Linked DNA regions of Oreochromis niloticus. Each later gene encodes a partner of the first gene's protein in a complex. Links are inferred from orthologs where the notes say so. Each region holds a gene or a part of one and is shown on either strand. Other genes may lie near its edges. The genes, in order: rps6ka3b and bmf1.

Region 1 (8,505 bases):
TACGACACTACTGTAGCAACATTATTGGGTTTTTTAATCTCCTCTAACTACTCCTGCAGAGTTTTTTATTAAATCTGTGTGGTTTATAATCACACATTGTTTCATGTGTTTCGGTGCTTTTAAGGATCCTTAACTGCACCCCGCAGTTTACTGAGAGATTCATATAACATGAATTAAATATTTGGAGCAGTACTTCTATATTGTACAATATTACACAGTCTTCTTGGGTTTTTAATCTATTTTCTGGTCAAAGTAAAGTCCTTACAGGAGCTTAAGATTTGGCTGCTGCTGTAATTAATAATAGCCTTTAACCTGCTGGTTTAGTGCTCAAACATGACATTAACTACTGCACCTCTACGGCTGCATATTCTGACGCTGGACTAGTAGATAAGGCAATAAGCAGGAGCTGTAACACAGCTTTAGTATTTGAAAGTAAAGCCTTGCGTGTCTACAGACTGATCTCAGGAGACTTGGCGTGGTGTGTTAAAATAAGGAAATAAGGGGGGGGGGGGGGGGGGGGGGGGGGTGCTGCTGTCAGCGGTGATCTAACTGAGACTTTAAGGTGATTTAGTGAGTTTGTGACACTCAGAGTCGATGAATTGATTAAATGAGCTTCAGGGTCAGGCCAGAGAGAAAAGCCGGGGCTCTTCAGATCATTTTATGTCTTCTTCTACAGTTTGTTTTCTATCAATTTGTAGAGCATTTATAGAGCCTGCCAGTATTATAATATTCGGTGAGTCTGCATCTGCTTAAATGGTAAAAAATGTAATAGTCCCAAAGTAGTTTTGTACTTTCTGACATTTTTATATTATGGTCAGGGCATTTCCAGAGAGATTTTAACACTACTATGGCAGCTTATAGTGACACTTTCTCTGCCTGGTAGTACTAATGTAATATATCTGCATAGAAAACTTCATCTTTGTGTCTTCAGAATGATCTTATGCTACTTTCTGTTGTGTTTCAGTAAAACTAATTTAGTCCTGTTTGAGGTTCGTGGTGTTTTTAGTCTAACTTAAGGTCAAAATAATGCCTCTATAGCAGCTTTAGCTGCTGCTCTCGATCCTAATACAACCTACTTTGCAACATTTTCACACTTCGTCATTCCATTCTCTTATTTTAGCATTTAAACATGAATCTGTTATTTCTAAACAGACTTTAACATATAAAACCCAAATGTAACAACTCTGTCCCTAAACTGCTTCATGATGTGATTCAGTGCAACTAATATAGTCCCCGTCGGAGCTCTATGCTGCTTTAAATCTAATTTAAAATAGTTTGTGTAATAATACAATCTGCTGTGCACAATGTGCTGTAAACCTCTCAATTAAACACCAGTTTTATTGTTCTTCTGTGCCCACTGTACACTGTACTGGTGTAATATTTCTGCACAGAATATTACTTCGTGTTTGTGTCTTCAGAGTTACATGAACTGATTTCCTTTTAGAGTTTTATGGTATTTAAAATCCCATTTAGGGTCATAATAGTGTCCCTGTAGTCACTCAGCAGTGCTAATACAGACTTCATATATTTGTCCCTTACGACACTTTCAGACTCTGTTTACTGACACTGACAGGCATCCATGACAGACTTTTTTTCTTTTATTGTTTAAGTCATTCCAAAAATATTGTAGCACATGCTCAGGGTTTCCTTTTGCACACATGTAACATGTCTGGAGGGTGTGGACCACGTTCGGGTGTTTAGAGTAAACACACGAACGTTAAAACTACGTCGTGTTTTAATGCAGCTAACTTCATCTTTTTGGAGCTTTCTAATGTTTTCGACCAAATTTCAGGGACAAATTGATGCCCCTTTAGTCACCAGTGCTGTCAACCATAATGCAATCTCATTTTCACATTTTTGTCCTTTATGATATTTAAAACCTCTCGATTTAACACCAGAAACATGTCCATGGCAGTCCTACAGAGACTGCAACACTACGTTGGCAGCTTATACCGACAATGTGGTACTTTGGAGTTTTTCTGTGCCCTGTAGTACCACTGTAATACTCATGCATAAAGTATTATTACATATTTGTGCCTTCGGGTCATCACTTGATACTTTATGTTGTTTTAGTGCAGCTAATTTAGTCCTGCTGAAGCTTTCTAGGGTAAAAATGATGCCTGTGTTGTAGTTTAGCTGCTAAGAAGAGTGACTTTAACTAAAAAAATCGAATTATCCTGAAAGGTCCCTTCATATTTTTGCACTTTATGACATTTTAAACCACATGATTTAACACTGGATCATATCCAGGACATTCCTGCAAAGATTTGAGTGCTTATTTGGGAGCTTACATGACACTTTGGTGTACTTCTGCGCCCTCCTGAACTGGTGTAAAATTTCTGCATAGAAAATTACTTCATCTTTGTGTCTTCAGAGGGAAATAAACAGATGTTCCCAGAGTTTACGGTGTTTACAGTTCAATTTAGGGTCATAGTAATATCCCTGCAGTCACTTAGCAGCTGCTGTCAATATAAATGCAATGTATAATGTCCTTTATGACACTGTCAGCTTACTGTTTGAGCACTTCATCGTGACTCTGTCATTGCTAGCACATGTCCAGCGCTTCCTGAAGCACAGATTTACCTGCAGAGTGATCTTACGGTAGTTTGTGCTGTGTTTAGGAGCAGCTGCCTCTGCCTGACAGAGAAGGCGCTTTTGTAGCATCAGACTGCATCCTGTGCCGTGTTTTTGTGTTTTTTACCCCCTGAAAGCTGCTGCTGTGACTGCAGCCCTCATTCAGCTGTCAGTCAGTGTGACAGCAGGACAAACCAAAGTGTGCTCACCTCTCCAGCCGTCCTCCCCAGCGGCATCTTCTGCCAGGGATCCGCCAGCTGAGCCAGAGGCATCTTCTTCTTCTTCTGCCCCTACTTTTCTTTATTCTTCTTCTTCTGTTATTCCGCTTTTCTGCTGCTCGTACCTCCCTCGCTCCGGACGCTTTCTCTCCTCGCTCTTATTCTTAAAAAAAAATGTTTGAAGGTAGTAGTCCACTTTCAGCGTCGGCAGGAACCGAACCGACCGACCGACCAACCGACCGAACGGAGCCGAGCGAACAAGGGCTAATTCCGGATCTGCCGCGGCGCTGAGACCGCCCCTTCCTCCGGAGACACGAAGAGGAGGAGGAGGACGCCCTTTTTCGGAAACTGATTGACTTATCTCCGTCTCTCTCTCTCTCTCTCTCTACCTCCACCTCTCCCTCTCTCACTTCCGTTCTTTCCCAATATGGCGGCCGGTGTCGGCTTACCTGTCCGTCAGAGCGCTGCGTCACAACTACGTCACGACGACAGGCGGCATTCTCACTTAGGTAATAAAAGAGTGAACGAGCACGTATCTGAACTTATGAATAAACAGTCTGCAATTCATCACTAAGGCGGTGTTGTTTTTTTAATGATTATTTTTACCGATAAAGCCTAACAGGGTGGCGCCAAACTGCCCCACACAATCACAGAAAGTATGTAAAACGACCTTAAACGACCCAAATGACCACAAAACATAAAAAGTAACACAAAATGCAAAAGAGTATCTCAAAGATACTCAAAATGACCACAAACTATCCAAAATAAGCCACCTAACCACATAAAAACCCATCACAAAGTACACAAAATACAAATACAAAAATCTGCAAAATGGACAATCCAGCAATAACATGGCAAATTCCACCAAAAGATGTAAAAATAAACCACAAAACTACTCTAAATAACAACAAATGTCAAATATGCAAAATCAGTAAACACATTCAAAGTGATACACCAACAACCGCAAAATGACTACAAAATGTGCAAAACAGTCACAAATGACCCAGGCATGAAACAAATTACCATAAAAATATACAAAATCTGCACAAAATCACCCACAGAAATAATACTGTGACCACAAAAACCTGCTAAATGTCCACAAACAGCCAACAGTTATTCCACATATACTGTAGTGAACCACGAAATAAATAAACCACCAAAAAAAGCTCGAGGACAACATAAGTGTGTACCCATGAAATGCCAAATTACCAGAAAAAAATACAAATCAACACATTATCAAAAACTGACCAAAAAATATGCAGTGACCATAAACCACTCAATATGTACATATAATATATGAAATGCTCACAAAAACGGGAAACACGAGCACAGAAAGGAAAACGACTTTGAAGTACACAAAACGACAAAAACTACACAATAACCAAAAACAAACATCAACACAAAAAACCTCATGAACGTGCTCCTGGATTCACCGCATCGCTTCCTTAAAGCTGTGCGTCGTTACAAAATCCACTTTTGAATACTTTTGTCAGTTTTTTCTGTGACACCTTTTCACTGGTTTAAATTTACAGCATTTAATTTTTGTCCGAGCCGGGCATGACTTTCGTTCATAAAGCTTTAATAGAGCGAAAATAGAAGGGATAAAAGTCCAGACATGTCCCTTTTTATATTATGAAGCTGACAATAAACCAGGCCGAAGCCAGTGGAGATTTTTACTCTAATTAAAGTGAAAAAAATAAATTGATTTTTAGTTTTGAGCAGTTTATCAGCCTGATAGTGACATCTAGTGGTTGAGAATGGAACAACTGAACACAGCTCACTGATTTCCTTTAGTTTGATCAACTATTGAGTCATATTTGAAGCATTACTTTGTAACCACATTTTATGTTTGACAGCTGAGCAAATAAAATATGATTCAAACACACCAATCACGTTTCCACTTTTCTTTAAAGTTGTTTTATTTCACAACCTTCAGTTTCCACCATTCAGACAGGTAAATAAGAAAGCTTTATATCTGTACAGGCTCAGATACAGTAAACTTTAAAGAACACAGGAAAGATTTTATAACAGACTCCTTTAAACTCATAAAGTGCCCAGAAAGTCTCAAATGTAGTGCATCCAGTTGCCAGCTTCAGTTTCCCCAAACAAGTCCGGATGTTTGTCTCGTCAGCAGTCGAGTCGAGCAGCTCGATTATATTTTATTTACTCATCTTTGAAAAGGGGCAGAAAAAGGTCATTTCACCGTTTGGTTGGAAAAACCAGATCTATGGAGACAAAAAAAAAAAAACAAAACAAAAACACAACCAACAACAACCATTCCTAAAAGATCCTGCAGACCTCAGTGTCCAGATAGGGAGAGCCTCTAAAGCATTTAGAGACCATCTAAAGTCTTGTTTTCATCTTCAGGTTATAAACATTTTTAGAGCCATTTTATCATTACATACATTAATATTGTGTCCTTATCCTGGACACTGAAGCTGCTTCAGATGAGGGACTGCTCTGAAGCTCAGGCTGCGACTCCTCATTTAAAACACATTTACTACCAGAAAAATCCATCACATTTGTATTTCGCCGGTTTTAAAGTCACACTACTGAGGGAATACCTACACAAGTTTGCAACATTTAAAAGTCTCCTAAGAGTTTAAAAAGCAGGATAAACATGGAGAGGGTTTCTAACAGACACGTTTCCATGTCAGATGTTGGGATTTGTGCGTTTACAGTGCAGCATGTTAATCCTATCCAACACCTCTGTCTCCACCACGAATAACATCTCAGTTATACAGTAAACTATAAATAAATAACACTGGCAGGTTTCAGGTAAAAAACCTCAGAGTCCTGTGAAGGTGCTGAGACCTAAAGTCGAGAGGGAAGGTGCTGAATGTGTGAGGGATAATGGTTGGAGTGTGTGGTCCGAGTCTAGCTGACAGACTTGAGCTTGGACCAGGGGCTTGTCCCGCGCACCTCCAGCGGCGGGTTCTTGGAGAAGATGTGGTTGCATAACTCTTCCAGCGGCGGCTCCGGGTCCGAGGTGGCGAACTGAGTCGCCTCCTCCACCTGCTTACGGATCTCTATGTCGATTTCCTGATGGGAGAGAAATCAGGTGCTGTAATCCCTGCAGCTGCCAACCTTTATATAAAAAAAGGTTTGAAGCTGTGAATGTATCCCTGCTGTCTGCACGCTCACCTTGAACTCCTCTACAGACGCCATGTTGTGGCTGAGCATGCGCTCCTTCAGCATGGAGATGGGGTCGCTCTTACTACGGACCTCCTGAATCTCCTCGCGGGTACGGTAGCTGCAGGAGGTCAAACCAAATTACTGAGAAAAATCACAACTCTCCCAGGGTCAGGTAAATCCAGACTGGGAAAGGTAACTCACCTGACACCTGGGTCACTCATGCTGTGTCCATGGTAACGGTAGGTCTGCAGCTCCATTATGATGGGACCCTGAAACACAAAGTGCTGCTTCACATCGATGCTCTGAAAGATTAGAGCCTTTTAGAGATCCTACAGGAAACTCTCCACCACGAGAACCCTTCAAAATTAAAGGCTGTGGGTCTCCATGGACTTTTACATATATGAATAACAGAGTGCAGCACAGATTAGATATTAAAAATGTATAAATAAAAAAACAAAACAAAAAACAAACCCTCACCTTTCCAGCTCTGCAGTGATCTGCAGCAAACTGTGTGGCCTCTCTGACGCACAGGACATCCATCCCATCCACCTGCAGGAGAGCAGAGAGAAACCTGACCATTGGCACACCTCTACGTACAGAGACGCGACCCCTGCAGCGACACCTGGAACATTCCAGTGTTTGTGCGCAGTATCATACATGAGCATCAGGCAGCTGTATGCATGCTCACACCTGCAACTGCCAGGACAGACTCTCAGCCTCTTCCTGTTATAGTCTGGGTCCAAACGGGCCAGCGGCAGTGTACAGTCATCAGACACACTGCCGCCGCTGCCCAGGACCGGCACGTTTACCCGCCATGTTTAACCCCGCCGTGCAGCTTTAATGTGTTCATGTCTCACTCTGAGTCCAGGTATGAAGTCTCCCCTCTTGTAGTAGTCTGTGCTGGCTGCAGCTCTCTCCACCGATGTCCCCATGCCGTACTTGTTGTTCTCGCAGATGAAGATGCACGGCAGCTTCCATAGAGCGGCCATGTTGTAAGACTCAAAGAGCTGGCCCTGATTGGATCACAGAGGAGTCGAGGTCAAATGACGAGAACCAGTGTAAAGTTCTTTACAGAGGTATTAAAAAGCACACAGCTGAACCACGTAAACAACGCAGAACACAAACGCACGCCTGTCCATCCAAATGCCAGATACATTTTAAACTGCCAAGGGAGGAAAGCTGTTCCACAGTTCTGGCACTAAAGTTTGGAGCGCACATAATCAGCCTCAGTTTTCAGACGGAGGAAAAACAAAACCTCCATCTGTGGCTCAGAGGGTCCGGTTTGGAGAACAGGGGTGAAACAGAATGAGAATAAGTGGTGGCGTCACCTCGTGAAGCCAAGGAAATAAGAATAAAGATCTTAAACCTAACTGATATGACAGTGTAAGAGTGCGTGTTAAAAGCCTTTTAGCAGCATTGGTGGATATTAATAGAGTCATTTAAATCATTTTTAACTCTTACCTGATTGGCTGCTCCGTCTCCATAGAGCGTAACGCACACCTGGTTGTTGCCTTGGTACTGGCAGGCGAGAGCGATGCCTGCTCCCAAAGGTACCTGCACAGTTCACAGGTGAGTTACTGAAACCATAATGAGAGTGTTTAACTATAGAGACCTGCAGGTGTGAGAGGTATGGGAGGCTTTTTAAACGTGCTTACTTGTGCGCCCACGATGCCATTGCCGCCATAGAAATGTGGAGCGTACATGTGCATTGAGCCCCCTTTCCCTTTAGCCACGCCCCCTCTACGACCTGAGGAGGACAAATAAAAGCGAAGATGAGACTAAGATCAACTACAGGTGTGCACATGTTCAGACTGCAATACCTTCCTCTCGCTCTCACCTGTGAGCTCGGCCAGGATCTCTTTAACAGAGACACCGCGGGTGTAGGTGTACCCGTGGGCGCGGTACGCAGTGATCAGGTGGTCCGAGGGGTTGATGGCGGCCTCGATGCCTGCAGCACACGCTTCCTGCAGGAGAAACCACACGTTCTGCATTTCACCACACTCAAACTGATGTTCATTTTGGTTTTCTCTGAATGTTCTTGCATTACTCCATGCACTGAGATTTGGAATGCAATATAAATGAATTCTGTTCCTGGCCTGCAGGCGCTGATACCTGTCCGTCGTATAGGTGACAGAAGCCTCGGATGATCTTCTGCTTGTAGAGCTGGTCAGCTTTGAGCTCCATGCGCCTCACCGTCTGCATGGTGCGGTAATACTGCAGGCCCTGCTCCCTGGTCAGCTCCGCCTTCACCGGGGGCCCCTCCTCCAGGCGATGCAGGTCGCATTTCTACACCAAAACAAACAAAAACTAAAGAAGCAGACCAAACCAAAGATTTTTGGTCCGTAACTGAGTGAAGTTTGGTTTAATAAACTAGAGAAATCCAGACCTGAACCAAAGATTAGCACATTTATTCATTTACTGCTGAGGCTCTTTTAGCCTTCTGTCAGGCCTGAATACAGATCCCTGAGTGAACATGTGCTGATGATCATGACACTGAAACTGATGTTTTATTCAGAGTTTGACAGCAGATTGAACTTTACAAATATAGGCATGACATTTTATCTGAAAGGACTGATTG
Region 2 (8,756 bases), on another chromosome or scaffold:
GTATGACATATTATATGAAGTTTGTATCTATCATTGAACATACATACACACAGTATACATATTTTACTATTATTATTATTATTATTATTATTATTTGGACATTACATTTTAAAATAGCCAGCAGCAAGAAAACTACTTGTTGGCCTGTTTTGAGGAAATTCATATTGAGGTTTGAGTAAATATCAAGGAAATAAATGTAAAACAGAGTAAATCCAAGTCATGAATGATGTGTGTATGTGTGTGTGCCTAATATTTCAGCTCCAGATGCTGTCTAATTCTTTGATCTTGATCGTGTTGTCCAGTTAAAATCTTTAGAGGAAAATCTGGAGCATACAAGTCATATTAAACAAACATGAAGGACTACAGGATGAGATTGCTGGGTGTCAAGGAGACAAGCCCTCTTTTGTTTTCAGGTCACCGCTGCCATTGGGTCATGGTCCTGTGCAAGTCTCATCTAACTGGCTTGCAGTCAGGATGTGGTTGCCATGGCACATGTCCAGTTGAAGCAAATGAAATCCATCCTTCTTAGTTTCCAGGCAGGATTCACATGCTGAGAATGTTTTGGGAGACACTCTGTGTGTGAGTGTGTGTGTTTGTGATAAATTGCGTGTGCACATTCATATAGAGAATGAGATATCAAGAGGGAGAATGGGCTTTTGAGGTTACAGAGGAAGTAGGGCATGTGATTGTGCAGCCACGTGCATGCTCGTGCGAGAAGGAGTACTACTGTAAGTGTGTGCGGGTGTGCACGCGTCGCTCTTCAGAGACAATTTTCTGATGTAACATGAACCGATGGCTGCCTTCTCTCTCCCAGGCATCTCGGGAGTTTGTGGGAACTTATTTTTGAATGCTTGTTCCACCAACCAAACAGGAGTTAATGACTATCACACCGGAGAAAGAGACAATAGAGGCCGAGAGCTGTAGGTGAGCACATCGCCTCAGAGCCTTAATCCACATACTGATAGACACGACTCAATTAAGTCAACAGGGTCTCCAATTTAAAAAGAATGTTTCTAGATGATGGCAAGAGTTGCAGTAAATACATCACTGCGAGTCACTATTTGTGCTTTAGATGCCCGTGTCTTTGTCCCACTGATGTTGGCCTATGGCTTCAATGATTGCTGCACTTCTACACTGCACACTAATGTATGTTAATGAATGACTTGGCTTTGTTTTCCAGTGATATTTTAATGTCATCAATACTATGTACTTAGGTTTTTCATTAATAATTAACGGCAGATTCTTTCAAACACTAAACCATTTAAATGCAAGGTTATCTAATATACATGCCTATCTGTTTCTTTTCCCAGCTGACATGAGAATGTATTGTAGCGTTAGCTTTCATACAGCGTGTACAACAATGACCTGTACTTAAAGGGATTCTATAGTAATTACAGGTGTTTTAAGTGTGAGTGTGTGTGTGTGTGTGTGTGTGTGGGGGGGGGGGGGGGGGGGGGGGGGGGGTCGTCTTTGTTTGGCAAGACCACAAAAGGAAGCAGCAAATAATGCTCATCTTTGAGCCTTTTGTTGCCACTCATGCAAGAGATGATCGAGTTTCCAATATCACTGTGCATGAGGAAACCAATCCCCTTTTCATGCATACCCACCCCTTCGAAGAAACTGCAGGTGGGACAAAGGCCAACCTAGCAGTCTATCCAATTAACGCATAACAGAGAAGGCAGGGACCCGTGACTTCTCACACAGCTCAGCGGTGGGACATGATCACAGCTGAATGACAGTGAGAGGGAGAAAGAGGAGTTGGGGTGGGGTGTGTTACGTGTGAGAGAATGCAGAGGGTCGGCCCCAGCTCCAGCTGTCCCAGGGTTCATTGATCAGTGATTGAAGACAGCTCTGCTGACAAGATTACCAGCATCTGCCCTGCACTTGATACCAACATGCCTACTGGAGACAAATTAGCATAGACCTGGATACAGTATACGGATAATAGTATATAACAAATTCAGGTGTTTTCAGTCCCATCTGCCACGGATGTGTAATATCAAGCACTTAGCCATGCAGTCTGCCTTTAATAACATTTGTGAAAGTATGGGTTGTTCACTGAATTTGAATGTTAGGACGTCACCATCGCAACAAGTGGGTTCCAGGATCAACTCTAAGTCTTTATAGAGCCTATACATTGCCTGACATCATTGTCAGGTATTGTGAGCATGGTGTATTATGTGTTAATTACTGTGTAATTGTGCCCCAGGGGTTTATATGCAATGCTGTCCAATAGAAACCTGGGTCCTTGCTCTTTGTTGCTTTCAGTTTTATTCAGGGACAAACATATTTGTTGCCTCCAGTTCTTTGAACATTCCCTCGCATCCATTCCGATAGCTTCAGCCTCGTAAGTTAAACATTTTTATGATGTACTTGGATTTCCAATTACTCTGTAATTTGTGCTTTTTCTGAGATGACCCGATTTAAAACCTCTGATAATGTGACAGTTTCAAGAGCTATCATATTGTCCCAGTTAAAGCATCTGTGAAAAAGCCTCTGATTGTTGTTTTTGTGATAAAAAAAAAAAAGCTTGAGTATTCTCTGCAGGTGCCTAATTAAACTGATCAAGATGCAGTCCTCTTCCAGCTGAATCTAGGTCATTTCTACCGACACTGAACAAACACAGGCATAAAAACTTCTGAAATTATAGTCTGTACATGTAACCTGTACTTTTGTTCAAACACTGTGGCGATCAGAAGTGGAAAACATAATAAATTATACTTGGGCAAATGTTGACATGAAGCCCACCTTTTGTGGATTTATAGACCCACAATATAGTGCAGAATTCAAAGTGTCACATTAACATAGAGGTACATAGACCACAGTTTTAAAGAATATACTTATCAGCAGCATCAACAAAAGCACAAATGACACAGTTTAGATGTCTTCAGCTGCGAGTGTGGTACACAGATCTCTCATAAAGCCTTTCATAGATGTTGACTTCTCCCTTACATAGTTATACAGTTTCACATCTATTACATATTGAAATCATTCTAAAAATGACTTCTTTACTGCAGAGTCTATGACAGGTCAGAGTGACCAGCAGAAATGAATATAATCCAGTGTCTGACAAAATATTTAACTAAAGTTTAGCTTGATATATATTTTACTTTTAGCAAAAGTCTGGTTTCTCTACTAAAGTCTACTGCTCTCTAAGGTACAGGATGTGACCTCCATTTTCAAGTAACTACTGAAACATAGATATCATACTATAGTGACTTAATGCTGTTCAGTGGTCATGATATTGATTAAGGCGGCTGTTGCTGGCATTAACATTAATGTTGTGCAGGTGTGTCTCATGCTGGAAAATTATTGTGCCAATAAGAAACTGAGTCTGTGAATGTGAATACACCTACAGTACTGTGCAAAAGTTTTCAACCAAACCTCATTTCTTTATATTTTGCTTCTAATGAGCCAATAATTCTTGTAACTTTAAAAGTGCTCTTGAGCAACAGTTCTCCAGACTTTCTGAAGCCCTTTCTAAGTTTTTCTTTGGATATTGACGCAATCATTATAATAGTTCAGAACTTGGACCTGACCATTTTCACACAAATTTGGTATGCAGTGTGTCCTTAAAGCTGTCCGTGTCCAGGAAATTGGACGTGTGGTGGACAAAAGAAGAAGCGCTAGGCGCAAAAGAACTATGTGTGCGCTGCCGCTTTCCATGCAGCCGGCCCCCTGAACTATGTTTTTCCCCTGCTGTGGACTCTGGGGTTTTTTTCTTTTGCTCCAAGCCCTCCATCCTGGACCCCCCTCCACCCGCTCGGGTCTGGTGGTCTGTTGTTTTTGGGGCTGTCTGGAGCCAGCCCTTAAGAAAGGGTACTGTCATGGTCCTGAGTCAGTGACCCAGTAATTTGTGTACAGTGTCTGAAAGTCAAGTACTTAAGAAAAAGGGGGGAAATCTAGCAAAGACCTGACACAGGACCTGAGAGATGCATCTGGACCTTAAATTAATTCATCTACTGTTTGCTAAAGCGTCATCGGAAATGGTTTCAGTGGAGTGGTGGCTGTAAAGAAGCCATTCTTAAGGATGGGAAATGGGGAGGTGTCCCAAATTACACAAGAACTGGACTGAAAATCAGAGATTACAGGTTCTATGAAGTGAAAATCCAAATGTAAAATTTGGGATTTAAATCCTTGTCAATAATGTACAGACGAGTTCAGGAGGTTCAACAGTGAATATCTACAGCTGTCTGTAAAACACAGTGGAGGCTCTGTCATGTTTTAAAGCCCCACTTCAGTCAATGATGTTGAATATCGCTGCCATCAGATTTCGAATCTGGCTTCATTTTTCCGATTCCAAACACAATCTGAAAAAGGATCGTGCAGGAAATGTAAACCTTGGATAGAAAAACACATCAGTCATGGCTTTGCTGCTCCTCACAGCCTGAACCTCAACATCAGTGAACCAGTGTGGCATCATCTTGACAGAGAACAGAACAACAGGCAGACAGCATCCAAAGAAGAGCTCCGAATGTTCTTCAAGAAGCCTGGAGAACTATTCCTGTAGCCTACTTTACATAAAGATTACATAAAGATTACCTAAGAGAGTTCAGGCTGCGGTGAAGAAAAAAGATGGTTACACCAAATATTGACTGTCAAGCTTATTAGGATTATAGAACCTCTGTTCTATAATCCTAATAAGCTGTGCTTCCACACATGTGTTTGCGTTTCAGTAGATCACTCTACCTATTTCTCATTTTCCTTGCAAAATATAAACAAATGAAAGACATTTGCACAGTACTTACCATAGTGAAAAACACGGGATACAGCATACTGTGAAATATGCTTCGAGTTGTAATCAACTTTAATTGTGGGCTGAATTATTTCAGCAAATTCTCAAATGTCAGATAAATATATTAATATATAGCTGTCAGGGCAAAGAACGGCTGAAAAAAACCGCAAGATGACAGCCCTATCTGACCAGAGTAGCCAGATGATCAACAGTAGTAGCGAGAAAGCGGTCTCGTGCTCTGGGGAATTTCCCCTTCCACGTGTCTGATTACACGACTGAGAAGGCGGGATAACAACAAAGTCGGCTATTGGTTGCAGCACCCATATGTAGCCGGCTCTTAAAGAGATATGCTCTATCTTCGCTTGGGAGCAGTGCAAGTGTGCCGGAGGGAAAGCAAGCCTCTTTAAAGAGGGTTTGTTTACTAATTTTTCGCGCCACGCCCCGGTGGTGGAGTCAGCTGACATGCCTGCAAAGAAATAGGGTGCTAGCGCTTTTCCTCGCAGAATGGAAGTAGTCGTGGAGGCGATAAGGACTAAAGTCGTTTGACTCAGCAGGATTCTGAACTCTTAGGCTTTTTTTCTTTTGTTTTCTTTTTGTTTTCCGGTTATAGGACAGTCGTTACAACGAAGCCGATCTGTGTGGTAAGTTCACGGGAAACATCATCACTTTTAAACGCTGTTAAATGTCCTCGTCCAGGGCGCACTCTGTCCACCGGAGCGAGCTGATTACATCAGGTAACATGCGCGTCCTTAAAAATAAGAACCGACAGCGCAACGTGCCGCTGCCTTCCATTCGCGTCTGCATTCATTCGCCCTACATTACTGCACCTAACCACCGGGCTTGTCTGCTCATAAACGCGGTTAAATGTACTGCCTGTCATTCACCCAGCGCAGATTTGAATTACACCGGCTTTCCCGGTTCGCTCAGCCCGGCTGGGTGAATGGACTTCAGACCGCGGGGCGCCGAGTGCGTCCCCGGGTGCTCTGTTTAAACGCAGTAACGACTGTTTCCTTCCTATAATGAAATGAATCAGCGTATTACACATATGCCCACTCTTGCCTTTATTTCAAGCCACTACAGCTGTGTTTTTGCATGTCTTTTTCGGTCAAATTTCGGTTTAAAACTCGCTCTGCTTTATTTCTATAAATGTGTGGTGAGTGGCCGAGCTGTGAGCGTGAGAAGGCTTCATTTCTCGGTGTGAGTAATGTTACATAAAGCCGATGCGGCGTGGTGGAAGGCTCTTCAAGCCGTTGGATTGAAACTGTGTCAATAACAGAGCTCCTTCGCCACCACCTCCACCGCCACATCTCTCCCTCCTTCCCCTTTGTTAATTTGTCTGCAGCAGGGGGAGCTACTGTCTGACACAAACATGCAGCTCACTGCCTGGTCAGTAGAGCAGTACAGACAGCAAGCCTGTGTCTCTGGAAGTTGAACCTAAGGTTTTCGCTCTCTCTCTCTCTCTCTCTCTCTCTCTCTCTCTCTCACACGCACATGCCCATGTTCTTTCTGTGTGTTTGTCAAAACAAAGCATTAAGTGGCTTTACACACAGGGTTTATTGTGAACGCACACAGTATATCGTGAGGTCTGAGCATGCTAGAGCCAGGCCAATCTGCTTATGCTGGGTGAAGAAATGAAAACTCCTTTCTCGGGGAGCTTGGCAGGCTGACAGACCAGGGAAGGGAGAGTGGCTTAGGATTATCCTCAAAGACTGTCATTACCCTTTTGCTGTGGATCCTAATTTGGAAGTGTGGTAGTAGTCTAACCCCATAATACAACTGCAGTGGTGACTTTGAGTTTTGCCAGTGAGGCCAACTTGAATTTCACCCATATTTTGATGACTGTTTGACCCACTGTATTATTCAGGGCTGAGCGCAGTCTAGTATTGACTCTGGAGAGTTTGCCAAGTGCTCCTTGAGATTCTTGCCACACTGCGGTGAGATGGGTATGATGAATCATAATGAGGCATTTTATTATTGTCATCAAATATCTGCTCTAATATCTATACAACTTTCATATTTATATACATACGGTGCAGCGATACTGTTAAAATACCAACTATTAGCGAAGTTAGTAATTATGGGACTGTTATTGAAACCCCCACCCATGTGCTTAGCAGAGACAAAAGATAATCTACCTCTTATTTAATCTAGGCAGCAAAGTCCTTTAAATGTATCTGTGGCTCAACTGACTTGCCTAACCACAGTGAATTGTGTGGTTTCATCACTGAGTTGAGCAGAGCCATTTGTCTAAATAAGCACTGAGATCTTTGCCACAAATTAAGGCAGACCGTTTGCTCATTTTCTCTTCCCCAACTTATCCACTGTGGTTTTATTGATTTGAGGGCACTCATTATAGGCCAGACAGGTTGTCTATAATGATAATGAATGCTTTGGAGGAAGGAACGAATAATGAATGTGTCTGAGATCATCTCATCAGCTCTTAGTGCGGATTTCTCCAAGGTTGGATTCATTAGCGAAGGGAACTCAGGACGGCGTGCCCGCTGGAAGACGAACTACACGTGTTCGGCTTTAACCTTTTCTTTGTTCTTTTCCTGTCACGTTACTTTTAAGGCTGCTCGTCTCAAAGCGCACCCCGTATGGACGATGAGGAGGACGATGTGTTTGAGCCAAAAGCCAACTGTTGGCGCACCACATTCAGGGAGATAAAGTGTGAACATCGAGGCACACAGACACCCGGTCCTGCCCTGGTACCAAACAACGGCATGCTGCCCTGTGGAGTCGCAGAGGAGCCCAGACCACTCTTCTACGGTGAGGCTGACAACATACCATATTTCAAAAGAGGGGAGGAAAAGGGAACACTGCCTTGTGCGTGATAACCGGTGTTATAAAACCGACGCACGAGAGCACAGTGCGAGACTCACCGTGAGGGATGGTTAACAGCGTTACTGCGCTGATCTCACCCCTGGCGCCTGATAGTCGTCATCACATTCACTTTTATGGTCTGTATGCAGTGTACCCAGCTGCTTTGCTATTCAAAAGGCGCCAGACTGGCATTGTGACTGAAAGGATATGACAGAAGTGCTCACCTGTGCAGCAACTCTTTGGAGAGTTGATTATCAGTGACACCAATTACTCTGGTGCCATAAACAAGCAATCATTCCAGAGGAGCTCTATAACTACTAGTCATGTGGGTTTATTTTGTGAAACTATTAAAGGTCATTTAAAAAAGACAAAGGAAACACCACAGCTGGGTAAACTGTGGTTATATAGCTGAGCAACCTGTTTGCTGAGAGGCACGTTCTGCAGTACTTAAGGAGACTGATGGATCTCCTTACCTGTGTGTATAAGAATGGCACGCCCGGCGTCATTGCTGTATTGAGATTATTTTGCTGAGCACGTGTTGTTTACAAAATAATAAGCATGAGTCCTGACACTCGACAGGTAACGCAGGTTTTCGATTGCACTTCCCGGCACGCTTCGAACTCGTCGGGGATCACAGAGCGAGGCGACAAGAAATCGCGGAGCAGCAAAACAGCATGGAGCGCCTGCCCCGGCAGCGACCTGCGGCTCGCAGCGTGGAGGCCTGCATCGGACAGAAACTCCAGCTCATAGGAGACCAGTTTCACTGGGAACGCCTGCAACTGGTGAGGAGGATGGATGCGTTCGGCTGATTGTGCAATACTGGGAGACAAACGGTGGCGCCGGATGGTAGTGAAACAAGCATGCTTTTAGTGGCTCACATTAAGTGTGGAGGGCAACCCGATTCTTTTGACAGTTTTCAAATTTGACTAAGTTGCAGATTGCTCCCTGTGCCTGATAACAGGCAAATACACCTTTATTGTTTGGGTTTTTTTGTTGTTTTTGTCAGATAATCTCTATGTGTGCTATCTGAGCCGGTAAAATTAGAGCAGTAAAGCCAGGAAGATACGCCAACGTTCTGTCAACAATATAAGAAACAAAAGACACCATAAAGTTAAATTTGCTGCCATCAAACTAGAGAGGAAACTTGTGTCCGTGTGCGAGTAAGCACCTCAGGTTAAGTGTTTATAAAGTCGGAGCA

Evidence for each region.
Region 2: the proteins of rps6ka3b (region 1) and bmf1 are in contact, whole or in part, in a crystal structure (PDB 8R58), measured with the Homo sapiens proteins. The link is inferred for Oreochromis niloticus from reciprocal best matches to the Homo sapiens genes RPS6KA3 and BMF. Residues at the interface, in NP_004577.1 of Homo sapiens: Trp252, Phe259, Phe268, Leu281, Ala283, Lys284, Leu285, Gly286, Met287, Pro288, Leu299, Arg300, Phe303, Lys304, Arg305, Asn306, Asn309; in NP_001003940.1 of Homo sapiens: Glu8, Leu10, Glu11, Asp12, Asp13, Val14, Phe15, Gln16, Pro17.

What each region holds. Positions count from the first base shown.
Region 1 is NC_031974.2:5,811,127-5,819,631, forward strand, and holds the start of rps6ka3b (ribosomal protein S6 kinase alpha-3), read right to left. Parts: upstream 3,228-8,505; 5' UTR 2,847-3,227; coding exon 2,784-2,846; intron 1-2,783. Other genes in the region: pyruvate dehydrogenase E1 component subunit alpha, mitochondrial, read right to left, coding at 5,670-5,834, 5,937-6,045, 6,129-6,196, 6,405-6,476, 6,785-6,940, 7,389-7,481, 7,583-7,674, 7,765-7,891 and 1 more. UniProt on the Homo sapiens protein: Serine/threonine-protein kinase that acts downstream of ERK (MAPK1/ERK2 and MAPK3/ERK1) signaling and mediates mitogenic and stress-induced activation of the transcription factors CREB1, ETV1/ER81 and NR4A1/NUR77, regulates translation through RPS6 and EIF4B phosphorylation, and mediates cellular proliferation, survival, and differentiation by modulating mTOR signaling and repressing pro-apoptotic function of BAD and DAPK1.
Region 2 is NC_031983.2:9,098,258-9,107,013, forward strand, and holds the start of bmf1 (BCL2 modifying factor 1), read left to right. Parts: upstream 1-5,101; 5' UTR 5,102-5,376; intron 5,377-7,306; 5' UTR 7,307-7,332; coding exon 7,333-7,504; intron 7,505-8,137; coding exon 8,138-8,340; intron 8,341-8,756. UniProt on the Homo sapiens protein: May play a role in apoptosis. Isoform 1 seems to be the main initiator.